3 linked regions of the Drosophila melanogaster genome follow. The protein of the gene in region 2 interacts with the protein of the main gene of each other region in a pairwise test. Each region holds a gene or a part of one and is shown on either strand. Other genes may lie near its edges. The genes, in order: stc, COX7C and veil.

Region 1 (7,080 bases), on a different chromosome or scaffold from region 2:
GCCGCTCTGACTTGTCGTAACATTTCATCTTTATTTTGGCATTATTCCCCAGGCGCCGCTTATTGTTTTTCGTGAAAATGGCAACGGCAATGGCAACAAATTAGAGGCCTGTGCCCATAGCCCGAAACGAGATGGCAACGAGTTCGGCTTGTGGGCAGTCCGGGGGATGTTTGCTAGTTTCCTCGACTACCAGGATGGATCAGCAGGTGGAATATCCCTTGAGCACCTCCACTTGGGTTGTTTTCATTTCCGCGCCACTTTAATTATCTAATGGTGAAGCATGACGTCCTATATATTTATATTTTAAATTTGAAATTATTTCTGTTCTAAGCGAAGTAAATTCCAAAATTACTTCAGTTTGAAACAAGCGACCGTTAAATAACAACGACTTACAGCACTGAATACTGACCACTGTTGAAAGCTAATTGCTGCAACATACAAGACATTGTGTTCCATCGCGACATAAATTTGAAATTAAGTTTATAAGACCTTTTATCCATAATTTCTCCCATGAAATAAATTAATTAAAACAAAAAACACAATAATTGCCCTCTGCTCTATTTACTCATTTATTTATCCTTCTCATCTATCGCTTTCCTTTGTATTTAGATGCAACGTGGCCAGAAGGTTTCGCTTTTGGATAAATTCATCGTACAACAGATTGGTTAACATGATTCTTCACATTTGTGCCTGCTTATCCAGTTCACTCCATATTCAAGTATTCAACATTTAGCATTCTAGGGTTCAACTAACATTTGTTATAATTTACAAAATATACGTGGTAACGGCAATTATCCTTCTGTATTGTCCTCGCAGCGCATCCACAAAATTTTCCTCATTTAGGTTCAATCAATAAGTCTTCCACATCCAGGCTTCCATTTGCATTATCTATCCATTTTTAACTATTATTTTCCAGCGCCAACGATTTAATATATTTAATATCTCTGTATACCACACGGATTTGATCTACTTCTTCAATCCCCAAGCATTGTTACTGGGCACCGGGACACGGCGTTGTCCGGACTCACGAGCCAGCACTTCCATGATGCTCGTGGCGGGGAACCAGCACTGCAAATAGTTAAGCCAAATAAGTACGCGATTCAGTTGGTGTTTTACAAAGTTGAACTCACCCTATCCTTATGGGCCGTGGCAACAACATTGCGATTTGGCTCCTTGTCATAGGAAACCGATTCAATCCCAAATACCTCGCACAACTCGTGCACCAGCTGCCTCTTTTCGCGGTTCATGGTGGGGAAAGAGTGGCTCCTCGACCGTTGCTTGCTTTCCTTGGCCAACTTTACCAGGTCGGTCAACGTCTCGTAAACGCTCTTGGTCAGCGCTGGGTTCTTCTTTGCGAAGCCACGAACAAACTCCGAGTACTTGGTTAGACACTTTTGCTTTGTATCGGAATTTCCAGAAGACAGGGCCGCGGCAAGACGACGATTCCTCTCCAGTAGACGACATTCGTCGTTGCAATCCAAACTAAAGACAAAATGTTACGTATATTAATACTAGTGAAAACTTAAATTCGGCTGAATAGACACCACCACTCACGTTTTATTAGATTTCTTGGCTGGAGCCAAGATTTCGCTGAGCTCCATGTAGTTGCCGCGTGACATCTCTGCCATGGACGAGGCCAGCTGGATGGTGGCTATACGACTGTGCTCCCTGGCTAGTTCCTGGCAGCTGCGGTTCTGCTTTCGGTTGCCGCACTCGCACTGCACCTCCACCAGCTCCTTGCAAGGCGTTTCCGGACAGGCTCCCTCGTGACAGGCAGCTGCACACTTATGACCACAGGTCGGTCGTGGCTTGGTGCAGCTCTGCCGGCATATCTCGCCGGCAGACTGACAGGGGCCCTCGTGACACGGCTTTATACACTTGTGCCCGCCACACGGCAACGGCTTGCCACAGGCCATGCCACAGCTAAAGTTGGGCTGCGAGCAGGGAATGGTCTTGCGCAGCTCGTGGTTGCCGTGACACAATTTCGTCGTGAAAATCATGCAGGGCGGACAGGTGGGGCCCGAATGGCAGTTGTGCTGCGGCGGATGATCGCATGGATGAATGCGCGAGCAAGGAAGCTTGCAGATTGGCTTCTTGGTGCCACACGGCACTGGTGGATAGATCACTTCGGCACCACACTCGCAATAGAGCTCTTCGAAACTGCTGCGGTAGCATGGCGGACAATTGCCGCGGTGACACGGCTGATCGCACTTGTGTTTGCCACAACTGAGGGTTCGATTACATGGCAGTGGACAGTCGTGGTCTATATCGATGCAGCACTCAACGTTGCACTTGTGCTTTCCACAGCTGCGCTTCTTGGTGCAACGTCGCTTGCAGCGGGCGTCGTCCGCTCTGTTACATAGCTGCCGACACTTTATCATTTGGTCCATGTGGCCGCAACGACACTTTACACCGGTCTGCTTGGGACATGGAGGGCACTGGCCCAAGTGACATTTGCTTCCGCATTGATGCGGATGCGCTGGCTTTCCACAACGTAATGTCCTAGAGCAGATGCCCTCGCATGTGGGAATCGGGTCCAGGCAGCTTGAACGCTGGCCAGCCGGTACAGGCATTTTGCCACAAGGACAACTTGTTATCTGCTCGGGACTCAGCTTGCAGGGTCTGAAAAGAATCATATTATCAGTTTAATTGTATGAGTTTCTTAGTACTCTGCACAAAGACACGATTGCAAACGCTGAATAATTTAGCATAAAATTGGTTCATACCAAATTCAATTCTGATGTTTTGTGTTAATGTTAATGCACATATTTTAGAAACCTAACACAATTTTCGAGTTTGAGCCGTTTTTTGGGGTTATTGGTTTAAATGAAACCAATACTATAAATGAGTTGAATCAGTTATTCTTACCTACAACTTCCCGCGTGGCAGGAGTCCTTGCACTTGTGGTGGCCGCAGGGAAGCGGTTGACCGCAGCTGTCCTTGCACGAATAGGTGCGTTTGTCCTGCGATTCTCGCGTGCATGGCACCTTGCGCTCCTGCTTGCCGCAGTGGCACTGCTGCACCACTTGCTCGGAACACGCCGCGCACTTGCCCGAGTGGCACTCCGCCTGGCAGCGATGCTCGCCACAGTTAAGCAGCTTGTCGCAGATCTCGCCGCAGAGCACCTCTTCCTTCATGGCGCACTGCATCGTTTTTGTGCTGCGTCCACATCCACAGCTGCGCACCACGTTGGCCTGGCACGGCGGACAAGGGCCTGGGTGACAGAGCAGAGTGCAGGCATGGCTACAACCCTCAATTCGGCAGCAGACCTCGCCACAGCTGTGGGCCAATTCGGTCCGTGATACCGGCGGGTTTTTCAGTTTGCCGCAAAAGCAGAGATAGTCGCGTGGCAAATCCTGCAGCACATTCTGGCAAGCTGGACAACGCCAGCCCACCTCGGACTTGGAGCTACTCGCCCAGGTGATGGTGCACTTAAGGTGCAGCATGTGATAGCAGTTCCTGCACGACCAGGTTGGCTGGTGCGACTTGATCGCCTCCACGCATACAAGGCACTCCAATCGGCGCTGTTCGATGTCGCGAACCAGTTTCTCTCGCTGCGATAGTTTTTCGTTATCCGCCGGTGGTAGCGGTGGACCTCGCCTTGGGGAGATTTGCTGCAGTTGCGACTGCTTTTCGGGCGATGGGTGTGCGCTCTCATTGCTCGTGTCCAAATCGTCAACGGCCCTGGGAAAGCCGTTGATGCGGTCCCTGTTGCGATTCCAGTCATCCCTGCGTTTGTTGCTGCGATGATTGTCGTAGCGTTGCTGCTTCTGCGGCCTCCTACGATCGCTTCTTTCGTACCGGTCCTCCCGATCGTCCCGATAGTCGGAGCGGCGTTGTTGTCGCGTATTTCCGGGTCTAGAGTCCCTGTCCCTGTCCCGGTCTCTGTCCCGGTCTCTGTCCCTGTCTCTGTCCCGGTCTCTTTCCCTGTCCCGGTCCCGGTCACGTTCCCGCTCACGCTCCCGTTCGTAATTATGGTTCGAGCATTGGTTGTTAGCTCCTCGTTCAGCTGGTTCTTGGGCTCGCAGAGTCCTAGGTCTCGTCTCATTTATGGCAGTCTCTAGGCTGGCAGTGCTGTTTCCGTTCGTAGTGGCGGCTGCCGGTGTCTCTTCTAGACTCAGCTTGGCGAAATTGGGCACGAATTCCGGAGCCGAGGCCTGCAGCTTGGAAGCGCTGAAGTCAAACGGATTATTGCCAAAAGGTGTGTAAAAACTCGAAAAATTGCTGTTGCTCGGATTGACCGACCCATAGCTGCTGGTGACGGTGACTCTAGCGATGCCATCGCCATTTTGATAGGTTGGGATCATGGCCTGCGAGTAAAACTGTTTTGTGATTTATTAGTTGATTCATTAGGACTAAACCTAAGTTCTAATATATCGAAACATACATTCGGAGATTGATGACTCACATTTGCAAAGTGGCTGGTACTCGCGGATGCCACTGGTGGGTTCAGTCCAAAGGCTCCTCCACCGCCGCCCAGGGAGAAGTTAGTGTAGCTGCTGCCCACCGGATGTTGCATAGTGCTGGTGGCATTCGAGGGCGCTCCTCCACCCAGATTGTGCTGCATAATGAACTGATTGAAGTTCACGTAATTGTTGTTGCTGTGCCTGTTGCAGGAACCACCCACTGCCGCCGATTCGTGACCTCCGTTGCAGTCTGCCATGGCGGATGACTCATTGCCGGGTCCCGCTTCTCCGGCGCCGTTGGTCAACTGCTGCCAGTACTCAGCCATTGAGAGTCCGGTGCTGTCGTTGGTGACCAGCGTCTGTTGCAGTTGCGCCTGCTTCTTTGCCGGAACAATCTCGAACTGCCCGCCGTCCTCTGCTGGGCATTTCCCAGCGCTACCACGGGATCGTCCGCAATCCGAGGAGGAGGTGACCGAACCCAGGAAAAGCTCCAGACACGTGTGCAATGGTGAAATTGAGCCCAATGCAGAAGTTAACCGAATCGAATTCTCAGTTCGATCGAATTTGGTAAAGGCTTTCTACGGCCAACTGGACGCACCGCAGCCTGGGTCCGCAGGCACGTTTTACTGATTTTTTTGCGCTTTTCCTGCGTTTTTTATGCTCGCTTATATTGTAAATTTCTAACAAAATTTCACAACACGGTCATACCAGACGAAACGGTACCACTGACAATTGCCTTGACTTATCGATATATTAACAGACTTTCGATTTTTGAGGGGAAAAGGGCTGCCAACTCGGTTTTAGGACAGCTGTGAATACAATTTAACAGCAAGATTTCGTTTAGTTACTCAACACACCTACAGTGGTAATAAACTATCAGGTGGCGCCATCTGGCTGAGTGAGAGCGCACTTTTAAATATGTTAAATGTACTGCAACGGTTCGTTCATTTGTTTACTAAAAAAACATACATCTTTTAATTTTTGTCACTAGAAGATTTGAATTAAATAAGGCTGCGTTATCTGATTATAAGCGAAATTACCTAGTTGGACTCCCAATCATATCTCCAATCCAAAATATTATTTCTAGAATCCTGGAATCCTTTTGTATTTGATATTATACTTTATTGACTGGCCAATATATATGCCTATTTTAATAATAATTAATGTCTATTCCTAATTTAATTTCTAGCAAAATTATTGCTTGAAAATAAATGTAAATTGAATAACAACAGTGGAAGTACTGCACTTTGTAATTGCCACAAATTTGGTTGAAACTGGCCGGGCACAACGATTCCACCCATTTAGAATGTCCTGAGATTGCTGAGAAGGGTTTGCTGACTCGGCGGTTGGGATGGACCAGATCCAGGTGTTAGAACTCCAGGAGGTGGCGGCATTTGAAATGTTTGAGCCATGGCCATGGCCAAAGTGGGCGGTGGACCTGTTTGTTGTTTTCCCGGTACTGGAAGTGCGGATGATGTGACCGTGAGTCCATCCAACGGACGGTACTGACACTTCTTAGCGTGGGTTCGCATATTGCTCGACTGGGTGAATGCCTGATTGCAGTTGGGATGTGGGCAGACATACGGCTTGCAGCCTGTATGGTAATTCAGATGCGTCTTTAGGTGATGCTTTTTGGTGAAGGCTTTGGGGCACAGGGGGCAGCTGAAGGGCTTGATTCCCGAGTGGAGGCGATGGTGCAGGGTCATGTTGCTGCGATCGGCAAAGGACTTGCCGCACACGGAGCACTGATACGGTTTCTCACCACTGTGCGTCCTCATGTGCTGTTTGAGCAGCATTTTACGCGAAAATCTCTTTCCGCACTCGTTGCATTTGTGGGGTTTCACGCCGGTATGAATCCGGACATGCATATTGAAGGCCACACGCTGATTGAACGATTTGGGACAGTAAGGACACTCGTACTCCTTCCGGTTCCGGTGAATCTTTAGGTGACTGCTCAAATATCCCTTATCGTTGAATGTCTTGCCACATTCGGGACACTCGGCGGCAAACTCCTTGGTTCCTCGGTGAACGGACAGGTGATATTTGTAATTTCGCAGCTGGGAGAAACCCTTTCCACAATCCGCACACTCGTAACGCGGCGATTTGTGCGTCTTTTCATGAGCCTGAAATAAGAACATAATAGACAAATAAGATAAATAAATAAGATACATTAGCTTAGCAATAGTAATATTGTAGCAATAGTAAGAGATTTAAAATTTTAATAAAAAACCTGAGGTAGTGAAAATCTGTTGTGAAATTCATAAAACAGCGATTTTCTACAAACTGTTCGTTAGTTAGTTAGTTTTTGGAAGGGAGGCTTTCAAGATGAGTATGTTTAGCAACATTTTAATTAGGTCCTAATATTAATACCTTATTCTATAAGTTCTAGTGAGGATTGGAAGATTTCGAATATAAAGTTACTGAAAACTGAGCTTTGGACACATTTATACTTATACAAAATAAGCCAGAAATGCAAAAAATACCATGGTTACACATTCGAATGTTCCCCATTGTTTGTAATAATTTTGTTGCAACTTCAAATGTGGCTTGCTTCAGTTAGCTACTGAAATTGGTGTTCTTTCCCAAAGTGGCCATTTTGTGATTACCTCTCGCTCGGCGTCTGGCCCTTTCTAACGTATCTTGTAGCTGCACCCATGCGTAAAACCAGTTCTCT
Region 2 (4,031 bases):
CAAAGCCCACGACTCCCGCAATTAGGTAAAATAGTGTGAAACGCATTGGACTATCCAAGCCAAAGGGTAAGTTCTGTGAGGGAAATTGTAAGTTCTTAGAATGGTTAGCTGCGTGTTGACCTTGGATTAACTACCGCCCCAGGAGAGCCGCCTGGATATCCACTCCCATAACGCATCAGCGGCCCGCTAAACTTGCCAATGGGTTTACGAAGTGTGGGCCACATGAGTAAATTTTAATCCGTTTGTTGAGACGGGAATAAGAAATTATTTGATTGCTTGCGAGTGAGAAGTTACTCCCAGATTTCTAGCGAACGAATGAAAGTTACTGGCTTTTCGAAAAATTTCCTGACATATATCTTTATAGGCAAGCCTACTTAAGGGAACCCTTAAAACTTCACCATTACTAGAAATATTCCTTCCAGTTGGCAACTTTGCGTGTACATCGGTTTCTGACGTCGTTCTACCAAGTCCATGTTATTTGCGAGCACAGTTTCCATAGTTTAGCCACAAGATATTGATACTAAAAGCTTTAAAAATAAGCGTGGATGCATTTACAAGTGCCAATACCAAACAAACTGTTGTTCCACATAAGCCGTCTTGCCAGCTTTTAAAGAAAACATCCACCAATCGGTTCTACGGTCACGGGTAACTTTATTTCGTTTCCACTTTTTACTTAAATTTAAGCTGTAACACACTGTAATGGCCTGCCGGCCAACTCAGCAGATAACGCTACATCTGAAAAGTGAATATTTATATTAAAATGCAAACCGAATATAACCAATAAACTAACCTTACATTTGTTGTTGCTGTCGCCAGGGGAGCCCCTTACTTCTTGAGCAGTTGGTGCCTGACGATCAGGAAGGGCGATCCGAAGCCCAAGACACAGCCGATGGTGAACAGGGCGGTGATGCGGTACTTGTTCGTCAGCCCGAAGGGAAGATTCTGCATGAGAATGAGGTGTTTTCCGGTGTTAGAATTGATTTTCCTCCCAATCCTATGCGAGTCGTGCAAATTATGTAACCCGCAATGGGCCCATTTTTAGGGACTCACCTCTCCGGGAACTCCACCATGTCCGCTAAAGCGAACCATCGACTGGGAAAAGTTGCGTGCAATCACACTGCTGCGGCCCAACATCTCGCAATTTGACTTATTTGATAATAATTCCAGGAAAATAAAGTTCGCAGTGGGTGCGCAGAATAGAGATGACAAATGGTCGATAGCTGCCGTGCAGCTCTGCTGATTACGTTACGTTAACGTTAATGCGGTTTCTGTTAACTTTGCCTTTGGCTTCACAAAAAATACATTTTATTTAAAAAAAATAAATTTGTAAAATGTAATATAAGAATTTCCTAGGTATCGCTTGACTAACATTTATACGGCTTAAATACTTCGTAAGTATTTCGTTTTTATTTATTTAATATTTTTATAAGTACTGGTGAAAAACGTAGTCATTCCTTCATTGCTGGTACTTACTAGTTCATTTATTAGGTGCAACGTAGGTACTTCAAATACACCACTTGGGCACCCGGTGCACTACATAACTATTTTCAAACCTCAAACCAAATCCCAATCCATTTAAATGTAAATTTTTAAATTCTTAACTGCTTTTAAAAACTATTAAATTTTATTCGTTTCTCTCGAGTGATGTGTCCTTTTTCTAAATGACTGCCATCCGTAATGTCCCGTACACAGCATGCTAAATATAATTAGTAAAAATTTGTTTCATTTTCCTCTTAAATTTTAGAAATATTTTCCCTTTATATAAAATAAATATATATAACAGTGCCGTGTTTTTATTTTAACGTAAATAAAATTTGAATGTTATCTATTTATATATTTATTTGAAATCATTTAAAATTAATAATAATAAAAAGAATTTTACGTTAATTTGCTTCCAACTACGCCCACGCGAATTGTTGTTAATTTATAATAACGAGCGAGTTTGACACGGTATTAGGGGTATTCGATTTTATCTATTCAGGGGCTTAACAGACACTAAGCGCTCTGTTATCTTGTCAAAAACTATCGGCAACTAGGGCCATCGCTGGCCCCATCAAACACGCCGAGCGCTCATCTCTATTGCGTTTCGAATATTTCATTTATACGCACGGGTACGGTAGACTCGATCCAAACAGACAAACGTTCAAAATTATTGCACAAAATTATAAGTAAACACCCCGCGTCCACCCCACCGCCCATATTGGGTACCTCGTGTTTTCGGTGGTTCCCTGAAATACCGGAAAAGTGTCTGTTAATCGTGAAGTTTTCCTAATGAAGCACTGAAACAGAACGACCGACAGCAACAACAACGCAACAGAAAAGAGTGGATAAAGAAAACAGACAGCAAAATGCTAGAACCGCCGAAATTTATAGAGAATGATTGCTACAACGGCAGCCGGACCTTCACTTGGCTGGCGGATATGGTGGGCCTCTCCGTGGACTTGGTGAGTAACACACTATTTACTCCCTGGTTCTTAAGACCCCTCCTCCCCTACCGTTATCTTTCGAAACGGGTGTGTGCACGTGTGCGTGTGTATACGCGTGTTAGTTGTGTGCCAATCATACGGGATAAAAGCCGCTGAGCAAATCTCTCTCTTCCTGAGAACAATGCACTTCTTGAAGGACAGAGCTGGGATTTACTTCTGCCTGAACGGCATATTTTTCCGGGAATTATGCAAAACTTACCTGGCAACGGGAGGTAAATAGATTCCATGCCGGTTGCCCAAACAAAGATTTAGTTTACAGTGAACGATCTATGTATTGAACCTTTTAACATAAGAGACTATCTGAAAATTTATTTATTTAATAATTTAATTTAAATAATTTATTTATTATAATATATAAAAATTGTTTATTTGCAAATCATGAGAAAACAAACTTAAAGCAGTGATATTTTCACAATCACATATAATTATGAATTAGCTTTAGTTGTTTACGTTAATAATAGCGTAAGGCAGCTAATCGCATCTGGCAAGTGCTTTATATTTTACCCACTTTGTAGTTTTTCTAATTTAATTAAGACATCTTGAATTATATGAAGACCTTATCAGCTGACAAGAATTATCTACCAGTGGAATTTTCCAGCCCTCAAGCGGGGTACCGTGAAATTTTGAAATTACTATTGTTGCGGCTGACGCACCGTTGATTTCGCTAAATTTAAAATGCTTTGCATCACTTAATAGTGCGGTGGGTACTAGAGGGGGGCACTGATTAATCTCTTCGCAGAGAGTGTCGCACAGCCACACTTACTTCCCCACTGTCTCCTGTAACCCCCTTTTTGTGCACCATTCATTTGGCGTAATGTAATTTGCATAACTGCAGCTGGCATATAGAAATGTGATTCATAGCAAGGCATTTTCTGGCCCAAATCAAGCGACATACACGTACGTAATCCTCACATTTTTCAATTCTGATGACCTAATGCAAACTTCCGATGTAAGGAAAGCACAACTAACGGAAAATCAGTGTTAGTTCGCCATCGGGCCGTTGTCTCTATCAATAGCCGCACTAAATTCAATTTGGCTTGGTTCAAACTATGAACCTCTCCATCTCAGATAATTGAATTTTTAGCGCTTCTTTTGTTTGCAAACAAATATCAACAGCTTGTCGGTGTGTTGGTTAGCGGATTTCTTGTTATTCCGAATCAGCTGATGTAGACCGCATGAGTCAACCAGTCTGTCGAGCAAAAAACAGTAAACGCAGCAAAAAATAGGTACTTTAGGAGGGTATAGCAATAAAAACATAAACAAAAACACTACATTTATATAATACATTTCACCAATCAGCGATCAAAATGAGTTTTCTTAAGATGTGAATAAGAAATTTAAAAACAAACGTTTACCGGCCTCAGAGTTGACTGTACCTCGTAATGGGGTTTTGTGGATGGGCGACACTTTTTTGGAAATCGCTACGCCCGATATTTGATTTGTTTGTGGCTTTTTATTGCGCTAATTCGAAGCGAAGGCCGCAGCACGCAACTGCGCAAATGCCGGTGAATTGGCCAATTGTTCCGTGGAATCGCCCCATGTTTA
Region 3 (6,360 bases), 7.4 Mb from region 2:
GACATTAACATATCACTGATTAGCCTGACGCGTCGGTTGGAAAACAGAGGTAAAATTAGTTGGACAACATAGGCTGAGACATTACAGTGATTTTCTGTTGCAGGTGCATTGAGACCGATCTGCATTCTGGAAACTGCAAACATCGCTGGTTCTTTAAGAATCACTGGCACAGGTCAATATGGCTTAAGCAATTACGTTATAAATGTGCAAAGCCTTAATTGGCAGTTGTGTGAACTTGAGTTGAGGAGAAATATCGAACAGAATCAGTTTTGTGTGAAAAACACTTTCCAACCAAATGCGCTTAAGCAATTTGGTACAGCTGGCGATATATTGGTTAAAAAAATATTGAATGTTTCGGGCATGGTCCATTTCGTTCTATTGGGCTTGGTAGACGTTTCGCACAATGACGTATACGTAATAACCAGTGCTATGGCAAATGCAGAATGGATCTCGAAAATAGTAAATCAGAATGAATAGGGTATCTGGATTATCGGGCGATTTAATCGAAAACTACACAAGCAGTAAATAAATTTAAACACAATATCATTTCAGTTCTCACAACATTTATTAGCTATTTAGTTTAAGTTTGTGTGTGAAACAAGCATATATTATATTAATTAAGGGCAAACTTATCACCAATCACACTTGACTCTTTAAGTCGAAAAAATGCAATCGCATTAATAAGCTTATTTATGAATTGGGGTTCTGAAATGAGAAGCTGAAAGTGCCACTAGATGAATCTAGTTAGCAGGGAAGAGAGCAGAAGCAAGGAGATGGAGGCCACAATACCAGACGCCGATCCGGTGTCAGCCTTCTCGTGAATCACAATTCGTTCCTCGATCTCGGGATACACGAAATGGCGCTGCTTCAGGTACTCCATGGTAGCATTCAGATCGTTTCGCTGCATGCTCTCGGTGAAGGGATCCGACTCCTCGATCAGAGTGTAGCCATCGCCGCCTTCCAGCAGGAACTGGGGCACGATCACTTGGTACAGGGCCGTCTCATTGATGCTCTTGTACGTGGGCACGGCGCAGCTGGCGCATAGGGCCTGTGCGGAAACCACTCGCTTGCCCTGCTCATTGTTGTAGTTGTACACCACACGCAGTCCGGACATCTGCAGGAATCCACCATTGGAGTCCTGCAACCTCACAGACGCGGAGTGTTCCAGGGCAGCCAGAAGGGTGCTTCCGAGAATCCTTGTCACGTACAGATTATTCTCGAACGGAAGAACGGCTAAGAGGGTGGCGCCATTGATGACTCCATCATCCTTCTTATCGACGGAGCCACGGATTCCTATAAAATATGTAGATCCACGTAATTTCGAATTTCTCTAATGACACCAAATAAAACACACCTCCTCCCTGCATAAAAGCAATCGCAGTATCTGTCCAGAATTCGCCGCCCTTGTTTTCCAACACGCGACTATAGATCATGGCATCTGTCACCAAGTTGCCAAGGTTGCACTCCCTCATGCGGCAGATGTTGCCGCCCTCGAGAAACACCTTAGTGTAACCCAGAACCGTGTTCTCCAGCTCGTCCAGCTTGGGGCGGTATTCGTCTAGCAAATCCAGGAGATCCTGCTCCTGAGCTACAGAGGCATTCAGCAAAATGGGAGCGCCATCAAACTCGATCAGATTTCCCTCGGCATCAAACTGGAAATATTCGTATTACAATTATATTCAAATTTCTTTAATAATAATCCAGATAATATATAGTGCTTACCTGAACATGAATCTTTCCGAGATACTTGGTATACGCGTATGCCTGAACCACTGGTACCTTCTTGCCGCTCGCCTGCACCACTGTGGTGGGATAGGGACCTCGAACCGCCTCCGGATCAGAGTCCGTGGGATCGGCCACCGGCTGATTGGCATCTAAGAATGTGTGCGAATGGCCACCAATGACTATGTCCACCTCCGGGCAGTTCATGGCTATCTCCTGATCCTTTTGGTATCCAGAGTGACCCAAAGCGATGATGATATTGATGCCTTGAGCCTTTAGCTTTGCGGCCTCCGCACTGCGGAATAAATGAACATGCATTAACATCCTTGCTCTCCAGCGGATTTGAGCTATACCCACTTGATGGACACGATTTCCTCCTCGTACTCCACTTTGTTCCGAAAGGCAAGCACCTTGGTATCGGGCGTAAGGTAACCGATAACGCCAACCTTCACCCCATTTCTCTCGAGGATCGTCGAGTTGGCCAGCTGCTTGGCAGCCGCCATTTCCGGAACATCGGTGAGGTTCAGATTACAGGCCAAAACAGGGAATTCCACGGCATTTAGGAAGGGCACCAAACCCTCAACATTCTGATCAAACTCATGGTTGCCCAGAGACTATTGAAAGGTATATTGATGAAATATAGTAAGAGAATGCGGAAAACAATAAAATAATAGTTACAATAGCATCTGGCGATAGCTTGTTGAGGAAAGCACTGGCGATCTTGTCCTTATAGACGGTGAACCAAGCAGTTCCGGTATAGGTGTCACCTGCATTGAGATAAAACACTGGAGTTCCACCCTCCTCCGCCTCCTTGCGATACTTTCGCACCCTAGTTGAAGTTCATCAGCATGAATAGTTGAACTCTAGGCAAACTGACCGCACTTACTCGTATGCCACCCTGGCGAATCCTCCGTAGCACTGATCCGTATTGGCCTCCTCCTTGGAGCAGGTGCCACTGGTCACACTCGTCTGCTCGAATCGGGCGTGCATGTCATTGTTGTGCAGAATGATGAACTCGGCGGCAACTTCCGCCCGGGGTGCAATGGGATTCGGCTGCACAGGATGAATCAGTAGAGCCAGTAGGCAGCATGATCCGATAAGGAGACCACGGGCAGGTAACATTTTGGTGCTGGAACAATAAACACAACAATCGCTGATAAGTTATCACACACGAAGGGATGAAATGTGGGTGGATAATCTTCGGTGAATAAGCACTGATTCGCGCACGGCAACTGGTTTGTCATAATCATTGTTTTTGCACTCATGAAAATCTAAAAATTTTAATAAAAAATTAATGCACTGCCACTTAATGAAGCGTGTTTTAAGTATTAGTTCGTTTTCTTATCCGAATGGTTTTACACATGTAATGGAAACACTTCAAACGTTGTTAACCAGATTTTCTACTTAGACTGTTGAAGGTCCTTTTCGACCTTATCACCAATCCACTGCTGAGAGGCAAATATTTATCAATCACGAGCGCGCAGAAATCGCAATTTATAGTTTATTGGGTGTTTTAAATCTAATCGCCGCTTATCACTTTGCGTGTGCAAAAAAAAAACACACAAATCCCCAGCACATTCTGCTCGACAAATTTCTGCCATCGCGGTCCACTTCACTCGGTCAACTGGTTTTCGATTGAACTCGGAAACGAGCTCGAACTTCAGCTTGCTCATGGCATTGGCCTAAAAGCTAACTCGGCTCAAAAAGGCCCGATCGATGTTACTTCAGAAGCAACGAATTACCAAATACCAACGATCGCTACTCACATGCACTCGTCGCACGGTCCGCGGGCTAACTGACTGACCCACCAAATTGGCTGAGAGTGCGAGAACCGTTATTAGCCGAAAACATAAAGCCGAGTACCTTAAACAGCAAAACCGAAATTTACTGCCTCGCGAAGCGGACTGATTACGATAAGGCCTCGTATTGCGATTGCGGGTTAAATTGGCTGAGAATGACAATGCGATGCTCTTTCTGCATTACCCCATTGTATTTCGATGTTTTGGAAGCCATCGGAAGCAGACATATCGCGCGATAATCGTCGGTTATAGATCAGATAATGGTGAATTGGCTATATATTTATCTGACTCATAGCCACTCAGACAGAGGCAGGTAGTTGGCCCAACAGTTGTCTAAACACAACGTGACATTCCCACGCCGAAATATGGATTGTACTAAAAAATATATACAGTGCACGCTCGCTACGGAGAATTTACATTCGGCGTAACTCTAGCATCAAACAGCATTTACTTGTAAGTGATCTAAACACATGAATCAAAGATCACGCATTCGAAAGGATATTTTTGGAATATCTATATCTGTAATTAATATTTGCACTTTTGTTTCATAGTAAAACATTTTCACTGTCACGAAATTATATGCAACATGGTTGCTTACCTATATTTAGAGTATTTACTGTACATGTTTATTGACGCACCATTAACAACAGTCCGCCGATTGTGCCGAGTAAGCCGATCTTTGTTATTAATTTCCCGAAAATTCCAAGCAAGTGTCTTCTGCGAACTTTCAGGCACATTCGATTGATGAACAATGAGGCCTGCTTGTTGCACAGATTTATGGCCGCCAAAATGGAAGGATAGATAAATATTGGAAAGATGAATTTCACTCAACAGCCGCGTAAATTACTTTATGAGTTTACTGCGAAGTTCTACCCACACGAAATGATCACAATTGCCGGGTTTTGGGCCACAGTTCATCCCCAAATTATCCGCTGCCACTTGTCGCGTGCTTCTCAAACTGTTCAATCATATAGTATGTATAATGGCTCAATAGACACACGACAGCTGCGGCTGTGGATAATGTATTTGCTATTTACTATTTGCTGCCTGTGTTCGGGCAAATAACTCAAAAACGAAAGGGAAAGGTACAACTTTCCTGCTCGAGATGTCGCCTAAATATATCCGAAAGATACAAGATACAACAGCAATTGAGTTGGTTCGAAAATAAATAGAAGATGCTTCGGCCAAGTTTAACTGAAATGGGGAGAGGAAAACCAGCACGCAATATTACACAATGTCAAGTGTACGATAAAAATGAGATAAAAATAATATATATGATTCAATTTTGATACGCCCTTAACAACATCAAGTGCTTATCAAGTAAATAATGTGTACACACACCATTGCCGACATACTAAATGCAAATATCCAATCCATCCATATCATAAGTTCACAGACTTGACGTCTGGGCGTGATTATTTAAATGCCCCTTCCGAAATTGCGAAACAACAATTCGCTGAGATAGTGTCAAATTCGCAGCCCCAAATAAATCGAATAATGCCCAATTTCCTTGACCATAAATAAACATTTATTGCTATCAATGAGATTGTTTCTTTTTTTTTTTCTTGGGACAGGAGATTCTTCATTTATGGTGTCATCTTATATTTCAGCACTCCCCCCTTCCCCCTTCCAACAAACCCAAAATATAAATCCCTTTATTTTAAATTATGGTCATGATTACACAATGCGCGGACATAAACCATAAAGCGAATTATGTTCATTCCAAATTTTGACAGCATTATCGATTAGCATTTTGGGACCACTCCACCTTTACTACGTTAACAATCGGCAATAAAGCCGATAAGAATTGGTTCTCCATGCCAACGGAGGTAAACGTGATTTCGTTCAAACTAACTCATACCGCATACCAATTTCCATGACAACGAAATTCGAAAATTTCTCGCAGTGCTTTTAGGTGTGCACTTATCATTGCAGTGGCAGGTCAAACTAACTCGCAGGGGAAGTGCCGATCGAAGAGATGAATGTGAAGCGTGCCAGCTGCAAATGCTTATCATGGTCGGGCATACCGCACTGGGGAATCTCCTACAAATATGCACATTAAACGAATTTTGTATGCAAATACGAAAATCTATATTCGTAAAGAAGCATCGTGATCAAAGTTCAAGTGATCAAAGTTCACAAACAAAATTTTAGGTAGCTTATTGGTAGAATACAATGCTTAACGGATACGTTAAATATTACCTAAATAGCTTAACTGTCTAACCTGAATAACTTATTCTTTAAGTGCGTCAGCAGTGCACGTTTTGCCAAGAAAAGCAATTTAAGCAATTACATATATCGGTCGTTGTTCGCTAAAACCAGATCGAAACTCATTTGAAATCAACTGAATTAAAAGTCCAGATTCGTTTATTTGTAGCAATTAAGTTAATTCGTCATTAAATTGACAACTTATACATTCAAAAAAAATTCATGAAAATTTATACGCTCAAAACTTGATTACCCAAGATTGTAAGGTATTGATAATTTATTTATGTCTGCTTTAAAATGTAAAAAAAAGAAAATTTGATTAAAATGCTTTATTTTCGCACACACCCTTCAATGCAACCCTATTAAAAAAAAGGACATAGGAAGGTAACTTGGGAATCGGCTATGCCGCACCGAAAGGAAACGGACACGGGACAACAACAACTGAAAGGTCGGAAAGGACGAGCAGGGCGCGCCTGTGATCCCGGGGGGATGGGGTGCAGGACGGATGCACGGAGGAAGGGAGGATATTCGGAGCGCGGCTGCTGCAGCGGCAGAGAAAGAGAGAGAGAGAGAGAGATAGAGAGAGAGAGAGAGAGAGGTAGAGAGAGAGGCAGCGCCAGCTGAGGGTTGC

What was found.
Region 1: the proteins of COX7C (region 2) and stc interact in a two-hybrid assay, tested with the Drosophila melanogaster proteins (one large-scale study listed by BioGRID).
Region 3: the proteins of COX7C (region 2) and veil interact in a two-hybrid assay, tested with the Drosophila melanogaster proteins (one large-scale study listed by BioGRID).

Annotation. Positions count from the first base shown.
Region 1 is NT_033779.5:15,111,542-15,118,621, reverse strand, and holds stc (shuttle craft), read right to left. Parts: upstream 5,143-7,080; 5' UTR 4,733-5,142; coding exon 4,388-4,732; intron 4,323-4,387; coding exon 2,869-4,322; intron 2,623-2,868; coding exon 1,555-2,622; intron 1,483-1,554; coding exon 1,131-1,482; intron 1,069-1,130; coding exon 967-1,068; 3' UTR 553-966; downstream 1-552. Other genes in the region: CG15269 (uncharacterized protein), read right to left, coding at 5,708-6,529. UniProt on the Drosophila melanogaster protein: Plays an essential role during the late stages of embryonic neurogenesis.
Region 2 is NT_033778.4:10,046,664-10,050,694, reverse strand, and holds COX7C (cytochrome c oxidase subunit 7C), read right to left. Parts: upstream 2,343-4,031; 5' UTR 2,209-2,342; exon of another isoform or gene 2,076-2,208; intron 1,697-2,075; exon of another isoform or gene 1,474-1,696; intron 1,288-1,473; 5' UTR 1,135-1,287; coding exon 1,051-1,134; intron 943-1,050; coding exon 826-942; 3' UTR 796-825; exon of another isoform or gene 791-795; intron 736-790; 3' UTR 629-735; downstream 1-628. Other genes in the region: COX7CL (cytochrome c oxidase subunit 7C-like), read right to left, coding at 1-73, 135-224; oys (oysgedart), read left to right, coding at 2,349-2,444.
Region 3 is NT_033778.4:17,476,308-17,482,667, reverse strand, and holds veil (veil), read right to left. Parts: upstream 4,511-6,360; 5' UTR 4,399-4,510; exon of another isoform or gene 4,280-4,398; 5' UTR 4,160-4,279; exon of another isoform or gene 2,852-4,159; 5' UTR 2,845-2,851; coding exon 2,609-2,844; exon of another isoform or gene 2,552-2,608; coding exon 2,401-2,551; exon of another isoform or gene 2,337-2,400; coding exon 2,080-2,336; exon of another isoform or gene 2,018-2,079; coding exon 1,723-2,017; exon of another isoform or gene 1,653-1,722; coding exon 1,355-1,652; exon of another isoform or gene 1,294-1,354; coding exon 731-1,293; 3' UTR 550-730; downstream 1-549. Other genes in the region: CG43110 (uncharacterized protein), read left to right, coding at 1-49, 104-477.